2 separate regions of the Mus musculus genome follow, and region 2 is reported to be linked to region 1. Evidence: microRNA targets listed by miRTarBase, many of them from high-throughput screens and not tested one by one. Region 1 holds a microRNA gene; the other region holds the end of a gene's coding sequence.

Region 1 (4,393 bases):
CACACGTAGCAGGCAAGCTAAAACTCCACTGTACAGACAGAGAAACTGAGACCCAGGAAGATTAAATACCTTGCTTAAAAAACTAGGACCCTGTGAGGTGATAAACAAGAATCAAATCACAGAGTCTATGCCCTTGGACGCTGGCTCTGGCATCCACATTCCTGAAAGCACCACATTATCCTTCCACCTTTTGCAAATTATAAAGTTAAGTATTTATTACCAAATCTTATATTTCAGCTGCCCTGTAACCTAGGTCAATTCTCTGCTTTCTCACCCACTACTACTCTGAATTATTCAGATTTTTCTATAATTATGATTGCTTTGGAAATGCAGATGAGAAAAAATATCCCTTCTTATTTAGTTTCTGAGATCGCATTCCACCTGGATCTGAGGGAACATGAAAGCCATGAAATGATTCGTTAGCTTTGATGACTGTGTAATCGGGGCATGCGCTGGGGGTCTTCTACAGAAGGAATCAATCCAGTGGGGCAGTGTGTGCCATTACACCTCAGCTACCCCCCCCCCATTGGATAATCAGCTACGTAGTGAACAGAGAGAGGGTGAGCAGGGAGAACCCCCACACGCATTTGAATCTTCAGATGCACACAGTGGTTCAGGTTTCAGTGGCGTCTTCAGCTTGAACCAATCTCAAGGAATGAGTTCATAAAAAGAAAACAAATGTGATTTAGTCTCCAAACAGCCCAGCTTTGAATGTGAGAGCCTCCCCCATCTCCTTTTGCACCCTTTCAGCGGGGAAATACAAATAGAGCAAGAAGAAAAATACCGTATAAAGCTCTTTGTTCTGTACCACCTATGTGTATTGGTTTTAGACTGCTGTTCACTTTGAAGGCCATCCAAGGTGCTTCGTTTTTCTTATAAATACAATACCTTAGACACTCCTCAGAGAGGGAAAACAATATTCCAAATATCAGCAGATAATAGCCACGGCTCTATCTGACCCTCAATAAAAATGCTAAGAGAGCCTTCATTCCAAGCCCTTGAATTTCCTTTATTGAAAATCACTCAGAAAGTTAAACATGAAGGGAAATCAAAAGAATGCCTCCTGGGTTTCAGAAATAATGCCTTATTCATCGAGAAGCCAGGAAAGAAATCATTCTCAGGATGGAAAAGGCTTGGATGGGAAAGTGCACAGTCTCATTATTCATCTACTTATCACACACACACACACACACACACACACACACACACACACACTCGTCATGAATGGAAAAACAATCCTAAATGTTCCTTTTCCCCTTCCCTTTATCAAAGCTCTCATTGAGCTCAAATTCAGAGCTTGGCTGGCTACAAGCACAGACAGATATATATTAAATAAAACTACCTCCTTCTCCCTGTGGGCGGCAGAGAGGAAACACCCTTCTTCCCAGGCTGCTTCACTTTGATCAGAAGAGGATCTAAGTACTGTCATGGGCTGTTCATGATTTCTTAAAATGCAAAAATTCAAGAAGAACAAGGTCCTCTTAGGAAAGAGATGGCCTTAAAAAAGAGACTTTGGACTTCACTTTTAGACAGAAAAAAAAAAAAAAGCACCCTATTAGATTTGGCCACAGGAAATGGGAAATGCTCCAGCCTGACAGAAGCTAACCTATGTGAACACTTCATGCAGGAATTGGAGTCCTCTCCGTTCTTCACTGGAAGGAACTGTTGTTATAACTGTGATTAGGCCAACCACACTGTCTCAGACTCTTCATGATTCAATCAAATGTCTCAGTGATAGCCTCAGAAATCCACATTAAAAACTGATCATATTAGCCTGCGTGGTGGTGGCACACACCTTTGATCCCAGCACTTGAGAGGCAGAGGCAGGCAGATTTCTAAGTTCGAGGTCAGCCTGATCTACAGAATGAGTTCTGGGACAGCCAGGGCTACACAGAGAAACCCCACTCTGAAAACAAATGAATGAAGAAAAGAAAAGAAAAGAAAAGAAAAGAAAAGAAAAGAAAAGAAAAGAAAAAGAAAAAGAAAAGAAAAGAAAAGAAAAGAAAAGAAAAGAAAAGAAAAGAAAGAAGGGAAAGGAGTGGAGGGGAAGGGAGGGGAAAGGAAGAGGGAGAGAGGGAGGGAAGGGAAGGAAAGGGAAGGGGAGGGGAAGGGGGAGGGTGGAGGGGAAGGGGGAGGGTGGAAGGGGGAAGGGGAAAAGGGGAAGGGGGAAGGGGGAAGGGGGAAGGGGGAGGAACAAAAAGTGATCATGTGGACCTTTCCTCTCCCCTTTCCCTTCTCTTTTTGGGGTGTCCTGGATCACACTGACCCAAAGACAACAGTGTATTATAAGAGAGGAGCAGGGGGCTGGAAAGTCCAAGGTGTTCAGGCTCCTAAATCATAGAGAATGCATAGTCTGAAATCAAGTCTTCTCACGTCACCAATTTCCCTCTGAGCTTCTAAGAATCAGTCTCATCTGTGTGTGTGTGTGTGTGTGTGTGTGTGTGTGTGTGTGTGTGTGTGTGTGTGTATGTGTGTGCGTGCGTGTGTGTGTTTAAATAAGTACTTAGCTCTAGCTGAGTGGGGTCACCCTCCAGAGGTGCATCACAGGCTATGTCCAGACTGTAGTTTTGGTTATGTCCTTGTAAGACGTGTGGATGAGTTGAGCAAACCCCTATTTCATTATCTGTGAAGCAGAGAAGCAACAGCTCTCTTCCTACCCCACAAGGCATGAGGAGCGACTTGCAAAAGCTCTCTCTCCAGTGTCCACTCCCTGAAACCATCTCGAGTGTCACAGATGAGAAAGCTTGTGCACAGGGCTCTGGGTGGATCCTCGGCGAGGAAGAGCAGGAGAGCATGATACGAACCATGAAGGCTTGGCATTCTCAGAACTAGCTACACATCTTCCCAGACAGTCCCAGGACTCAGAGTTGAACACGAGAAAAGGAAGGAAGAGAGGAAGTGACACCGCTCCCCGTGGCTCTGCAGCTTCTTAGTGCCACACTTGACTAGATGGAAACTAAAAATAATATACAATTCCAGAGCCAAGGCTGCTTTGGTGTTGTTTATCTCTGGCCTACTTCTGATGGCAGACTCTACAGACCAAGGCACAAACCTGAAAAGTGGTATGGAACAGTATGAAAGAGAGAAAATACAGTTTGCGGCTCCATATTGTAAAGCCAGGAGTGCAGAAGATACGAGGTCTAAGGTCATGAAGACCTGGTATATCAGGCTAAGACATTCTCTCTCCAGCCTAGAACTGGTTCTCAGCCTGTATCACATGTAACAATGATGCAAACGAGACTTATAAGGAATAATGACCTCCACTGTAATCTTACTGGCCTCAACGGTCAGGTTTTCACTTAGGATACAGATTAGTGACAGCGAAAGATGGAAATGATGGAGATAAAGAGAATTGTGTCTGTGTATCTATGTGTGTCTGAGTGTTTATGTGTGTATATAAGTGTGTGTATGTGATTGTGTGATTGTGTGTTCATGATTGTGTCTGTGTATACAAGTGCTTGTGTGTGAGAATGTCTGTATATCTGTATGTGTGTGTCTGTGTGTATGTATATGTATGTGTGATGTGTGCATGTGAGTATATGTGAATATGTGTACGTGTCTGTGTATATGAGTGTATGTATGTGAGTATATCTGTGTGTCTGTGAGTGTATATGTGTGTGAGTGAGTGAGTGAGTGTGTGTGACTGTGTGTGAGTATATGTGATTGTGTGTGAGTGTGTATGTATGTATGTGTGTGAGTATGTGTGTCTGTATCTGTGTGTATGTGTCTGGGTATATCTGTGTGAATGTGTGTGCATGTATATGTGTTTGTATGCATACATGTGTGTGTGTGCATGTATATGTGTATCTCTAGTTTCTAAAACAAGAATAAGTAGAGCCTGAATCTGGGCAGCAACATAGAGCAAGAAGCTGTCCACTGTTGCTCACCACTTCCATCAATAAAATGCAAGTCCAGCACCCTGCTAGGCTCCTCAAAGGTTGAGTCCCAGGAACCATGCCTCTCGGTGAATAGAAAGTTCCCTACAACTTGTCACAATCACAAAGAAGGTGGAAGCAGGAGGCTTCAAAATATATCTGCGGGTTGCCTGTCCTTGAACCAGCTTGGATTCTTTCTTATAGTCTGTCAAAGCAATCTGGGAGGGCCTGCTGCCCGAAAACAAATGTAAGAGACCCTGGAATGCTGGTGCAAGGGTCAGGGAGGAAATGGGCAGCTTTGGAACAACAGGTCCCAGCTGCAGAGCACAGTCACGTGACCACACCTTCCCTCCAAGCAAGGCGTTCACTGCCTGCTCTCTGAATCAGTCGTTTTTTCTAGAAGTGCTGTTTCCTAATGGGTTGATCTTTGCTTCTTTGCTTTCATATGGAACACAAAACCAAAGCTAAGAAGGGGCCAGAGAAGCCTCCTAGGGAGCCCAAGAGTCTGGGTGAGCAGG
Region 2 (4,393 bases), not on the chromosome of region 1:
TGAAAATGACTCTGTTCATCATCCATGGGGCCGCGTCAAAAAATGGTTTGCAAACTTGGTCATGAAACCCATAGGCAAATAGCACCAAGAGGCTGTGTGGACTCAGCCCCATGGGCAAAGTGCTTGTTGTGTAAGCATGGAGACCTGCGATTGATATTCCAGAAACTACATGTATAATGTGTGTGTGTGTGTGTGTGTGTGTGTGTGTGTGTGTGTGTATGTATGTATGTGTATATATGTATATATGAGAACCTGTGCTGGGAAGGAGTATATATATATATATATGTGTGTGTGTGTGTGTGTGTGTGTGTGTGTGTGTGTGTGTGAATATATATATATATGTGTGTATATATATACATATATATACACACATATATACATATATATACACACATATATACATATAATATACACATACACACACACACACACACACACACACACACACGGTACCGATCATATGTCACCTTAGGCAAGGCCCCCGAGTACCCTGCTTCTCTCCCATAGCCATCTCATGGTCACAGGCTCAACACCCTGACCACCTGAAGCCCCTCAGGACAGTGCTCAGCCCCAGGGAGAGCTAACCCAGCATGCGTTTCTTTCCAGGTTTTGGAGGAGTCCAAATGCCTGGTCCGAAGCTTCCTGAAGTCAGTGCTGGAGGAGGTGAACGAGAAGGAGTGCGTCATGCTGAAGCAGCTCTGGAGCTCCTCCAAGGGCCTGGACTCCCTGTTCAGCTATCTGCAGGACAAAATCTATGAAGTCTGAAGGGCCCCGGCTCACCTGCCCCCACTTGCTCAAGGGTCTCAGACTCCCAGCCGGGCCCTGTGTGTGTTTCTACCATCGGAGCCCAGGGTCCACCCTAGCCAAGAGTTTGTCGGGGTGTGTCTTCACACCTACGGTTGTATCCATTCCTCGTGCCCTTCGGTTGTTCCTCATTGGTTTGATTTTGTGTAAAGGTGGCAAACACAGCACCCTTGGCCTCCCTGTGCACCCTGTCCCAGCCAGCCATAGAGCCTTCCAGGGATCCATCTTCTAAGCGCTCCGCCAGGCCCTGTCGACCTTTCCCCCACTAGCTGAAACTCTCCTACCTTGGTCCAGAAGGGGGAAGACCAACCTCCCTCATCCTCCCGACTCAGTCTGTGTCTACACAGTGCCTCCAACTTGGAGATGAGGCCATCACAGTTCTCTGGTTATGTGATCTGGGACCAGGGAACGATCGTCTTAGGGAACCCACAGACCAACGAGCGTGCGGTAAGCTCTTGACTACATAGGCCTGGCTTCAGTCTTCTCTCCAATGCAACTCGGTGTGACTCTTAGGGCTTGGTCTTAATACCCAACTGAGTGATTTACAAACCCAGATATTGTACATTTAGAAACGTTTTGTTAAATATATATTTTTAAAACAACGTGTAAGTGGAAATTCTGATAATTTATGTGTATTATATGTAAAGCTAGTTTTGCAAAAAAAAAAGAAAAAAAAACAGAAGAACATGACTTACTAGGAAATTTTTTTCTTTATTTGGGTTTATTTTATTTATTTATTTTTGTTTATATATTATGAAGCCTATTGTTCACACAGATCTTATTTTCATACCACCCTGGACCAAATACTATTCAAGGTGCACGCCGTTTGGTGCGTTCTTGCGGTGAGCCACGTGGAAAGAGAGAAGAGAAGGGATTTTAAAAAGGCACAAGCCTGTGCCAGACCCTCTGTGTGCGGCTCATGTGACAAAAATGCCAGTTCTCTAATCTTCAAGGACAAGTCACGGTGGCATTTTCTCTCTTAGTCTCTGTCATTCAGGAGAATGGTGGACTCTGCTCTGTGTCAGCCCCGTCCCTAAAGTCGTGATGTTAGGAAGGGATGGCGAGCAGCCCGTCTTTAGGATGATATATTGCCTAGGGTGAGACTTTTTTTTTTTTTTTTTTTTTGCTCTAGGATAAATAAGTGAACTTGGATTTCCAAGACTTTTCCTTCCATATGAACTTTACTGTCTTGGTTGGCCTTCTGGGGGTGTTGAGGAAAAAAACAAAACTCAGTCCAAACCTGAACAATAAATCTTTAATTTTTGTTTTTTCTTTTTTAAGCTGAGAGAATACAAGCAAAGCCTTATCCAGCATGTAGGTCTCCTTGCCCCACTGGCCCTAGCCTACTGGAGCCTCCAGTAGCTGACTTTATGTCATCCAGTTGGAAGTCTGCACTGGGGGAGAGTTTGGGTGTGAGTTGATGAAGAGATGGGAAATGGAAGGGACCTGTCGTTGTGGTTGGGACCTCACACCTATTTGAGATCATGTGCTTAGAGAAAATTAGACCATGGGGCGTGCGTGGGGTTCCAGGCTAGTTCTAGATGGGTGACAACCTTGACCGCTGTTCTTTCTCTTCAATTCCCTCTGAGTTTCCCAGCCTTTCTCAGCCCTTCCTTGGTGACAGCCGGGCACAGCGCAGAGTCTGCACAGCTTGTGGAGGGGAGGTGGGCTGCAAAAGTAGAGATGGTTCTCTTTGGCTGCCCTTGAATGGGAATAGCTGCCCCAGTCACAAGTGGGAGGGATACATGGCCCTAAGCTCTGAAGGATGCAGACAGTTGAACGTTTGCATGAGAATTAGTGACCTGGCTCTAGACTATGGCTCCCGCGTATGCACATGGCTTTGTGGGCCTTAGAATGACCTTGCTTTGCTCTATAGAAATGCTTTAGAGCTCAGAAGGGTTCAGGAAGAAAAGAGTTTAAGTCCCTATTCTCCACCAGCCTGTGCCACCTTGGCCATGGGGAGCCTGAGAGTACAGTCACCTTGGCTGTATTTGGTCACAGGAAAAAGAAATTGGAGCATGTGGCCCCCTGGAGTCCCTATAGAACACTGTAGGAGCTGTGGGCTGACTGGGGTGTAGAGAATTAAGGAGCCTGAGCCTCTTGTCCCTTCTCTGCTGGGATGAGCTCCATGTACACTTAACCCCACGCCCTTAAGACATCTCCTGTTCTTTACATGTCTGAGTAACTCTTTCAGATCGCTGCCTCCTCTATAGGAAACACCTCCCCCAAACCTTTCTGATTAGCTTCTGATCAAGCCAGTTTTGTCCATAGGGAAGCAAGTTGTCAGGATTCTCTCTAGAAATAGCACGGGATGTTTAGAAATCCCTGTGATCAGCAGTCATCTTTGACTCCTGAGCATACAACCAGATATGCTTTCTCTCTTGGCCATTTGATGGGCGCCACACTTCCGAACATACTGAGGATCTGTGATGACTGAGGTAGACACTGACCATTTCTGAGGTGGGATTTACACCCCTTGTTTTTAAAGACTGTGTTCCGTCTGTTGGAAGGAGGTAGATCTGCCACATGGACACAAGGCATTTAGTCAACCTCCTGGGCTGGCCAAACCACAGGAGTTGGCATTTTCAGGCTGGCTGTTTGGGTAGTGTGGAGTTGGAATCCAGGTGACCCACATATAGCAGATTGAGCTGGGATGGAAAATTCAGTGGTTGTGTCCAGGTTACCCCCAAAGCTTTATTGAGGTCAGGTGCTGGCTCTCTCATCTTTTTACTTTGTACCCCATTGTCCTCTCTCCTCCCATGAGGTCCTTTTGCTTGACCTGTTACTCTCCTTGTTCCTTTTCCTACCACCCTTTCCTAGGGCCCAAGTAAATCTTTTGAGGAATTTTAGATGTCTTTGCAGGCCTGGTGTATGTGTCCCTATTGAACTTGGAAGGGCAGCTATGAGTGAGAGGTAGAGGCTTCCTCTTCTAAGTCAAGGTTCCCTCTAGCAAGCCATTTGAGACTCTCCTCTGTTTACCACAACCTTGGTGGTGGCAACTCCCATATGACCCGGCTGGGGTTAAGTGCTCAGATCCCAGGCGACTTTTGAAGAGTTATGGTTAAGATGGCCAGACCACCTCAGCACTGGGAAGCCACCACCTAATGTGGGTGTTCTTGGGTGACCCTTTACTGGGCAGAAGTAAAGTCCGAGGGAAACACATATGCAGAGAAAGGCGGGGACTGGGGGAAAATGGGGAAATGACGTAAAATCTTACTCTGTGGCATAAATCAAACTGGGAAATATCCTCTCGGAAGCGGGAAAAGATGATTTCCCTGAGTGAAGTTCAACCTGAGGACGGGAAAATAATGACAGGAGACACTGGGCAAGGCATATTTAAATCTCCGAATCCCTCTTTTACAAATAGCCTTGACTGAACGCTGAGTCCTATCCCTCACTACTAACTGCTGGTTTCCAAAATCCTCTTAAAAGGTTTGTTAAAAAACAAAATTCTCTCTCTCTCTCTCTCTCTCTCTCTCTCTCTCTCTCTCTCTCTCTCTCTAGTTTGGAATTTAGTCCTATCCCCACTCTTTTTCAATCTAATTTCTGTTGAAGTTTTTTTTTTTTGTAAAAAAATAAAAATTAAAAA

The links. Region 1 holds the annotated microRNA mmu-miR-3095-5p (AAGCUUUCUCAUCUGUGACACU, at 2,725-2,746, opposite strand). A microRNA usually pairs through its seed, bases 2 to 8, with sites in the 3' UTR of a target mRNA and lowers its output. Matches are read on the target gene's strand: a 7mer-m8 pairs with bases 2 to 8, a 7mer-A1 pairs with bases 2 to 7 and ends in A, and an 8mer does both.
Region 2: the mRNA of Cdyl2 is a reported target of mmu-miR-3095-5p. Seed matches in the 3' UTR shown: 7mer-A1 at 1,448-1,454.

What each region holds. Positions count from the first base shown.
Region 1 is chr4:58,438,340-58,442,732 of GRCm38, forward strand. Mir3095 (microRNA 3095) reads right to left here and starts at 2,759; the gene lies at 2,673-2,759. The region is part of intron 3 of Lpar1 (lysophosphatidic acid receptor 1); the gene reads right to left.
Region 2 is chr8:116,571,501-116,575,893 of GRCm38, reverse strand. It overlaps Cdyl2 (chromodomain protein, Y chromosome-like 2), which reads left to right. Exons shown (of 7, transcript NM_029441.3): 7 at 607-4,393. The coding sequence ends at 765. Among named protein-coding and RNA genes, the nearest start is that of Gm31367, 32 kb to the left of the region's middle.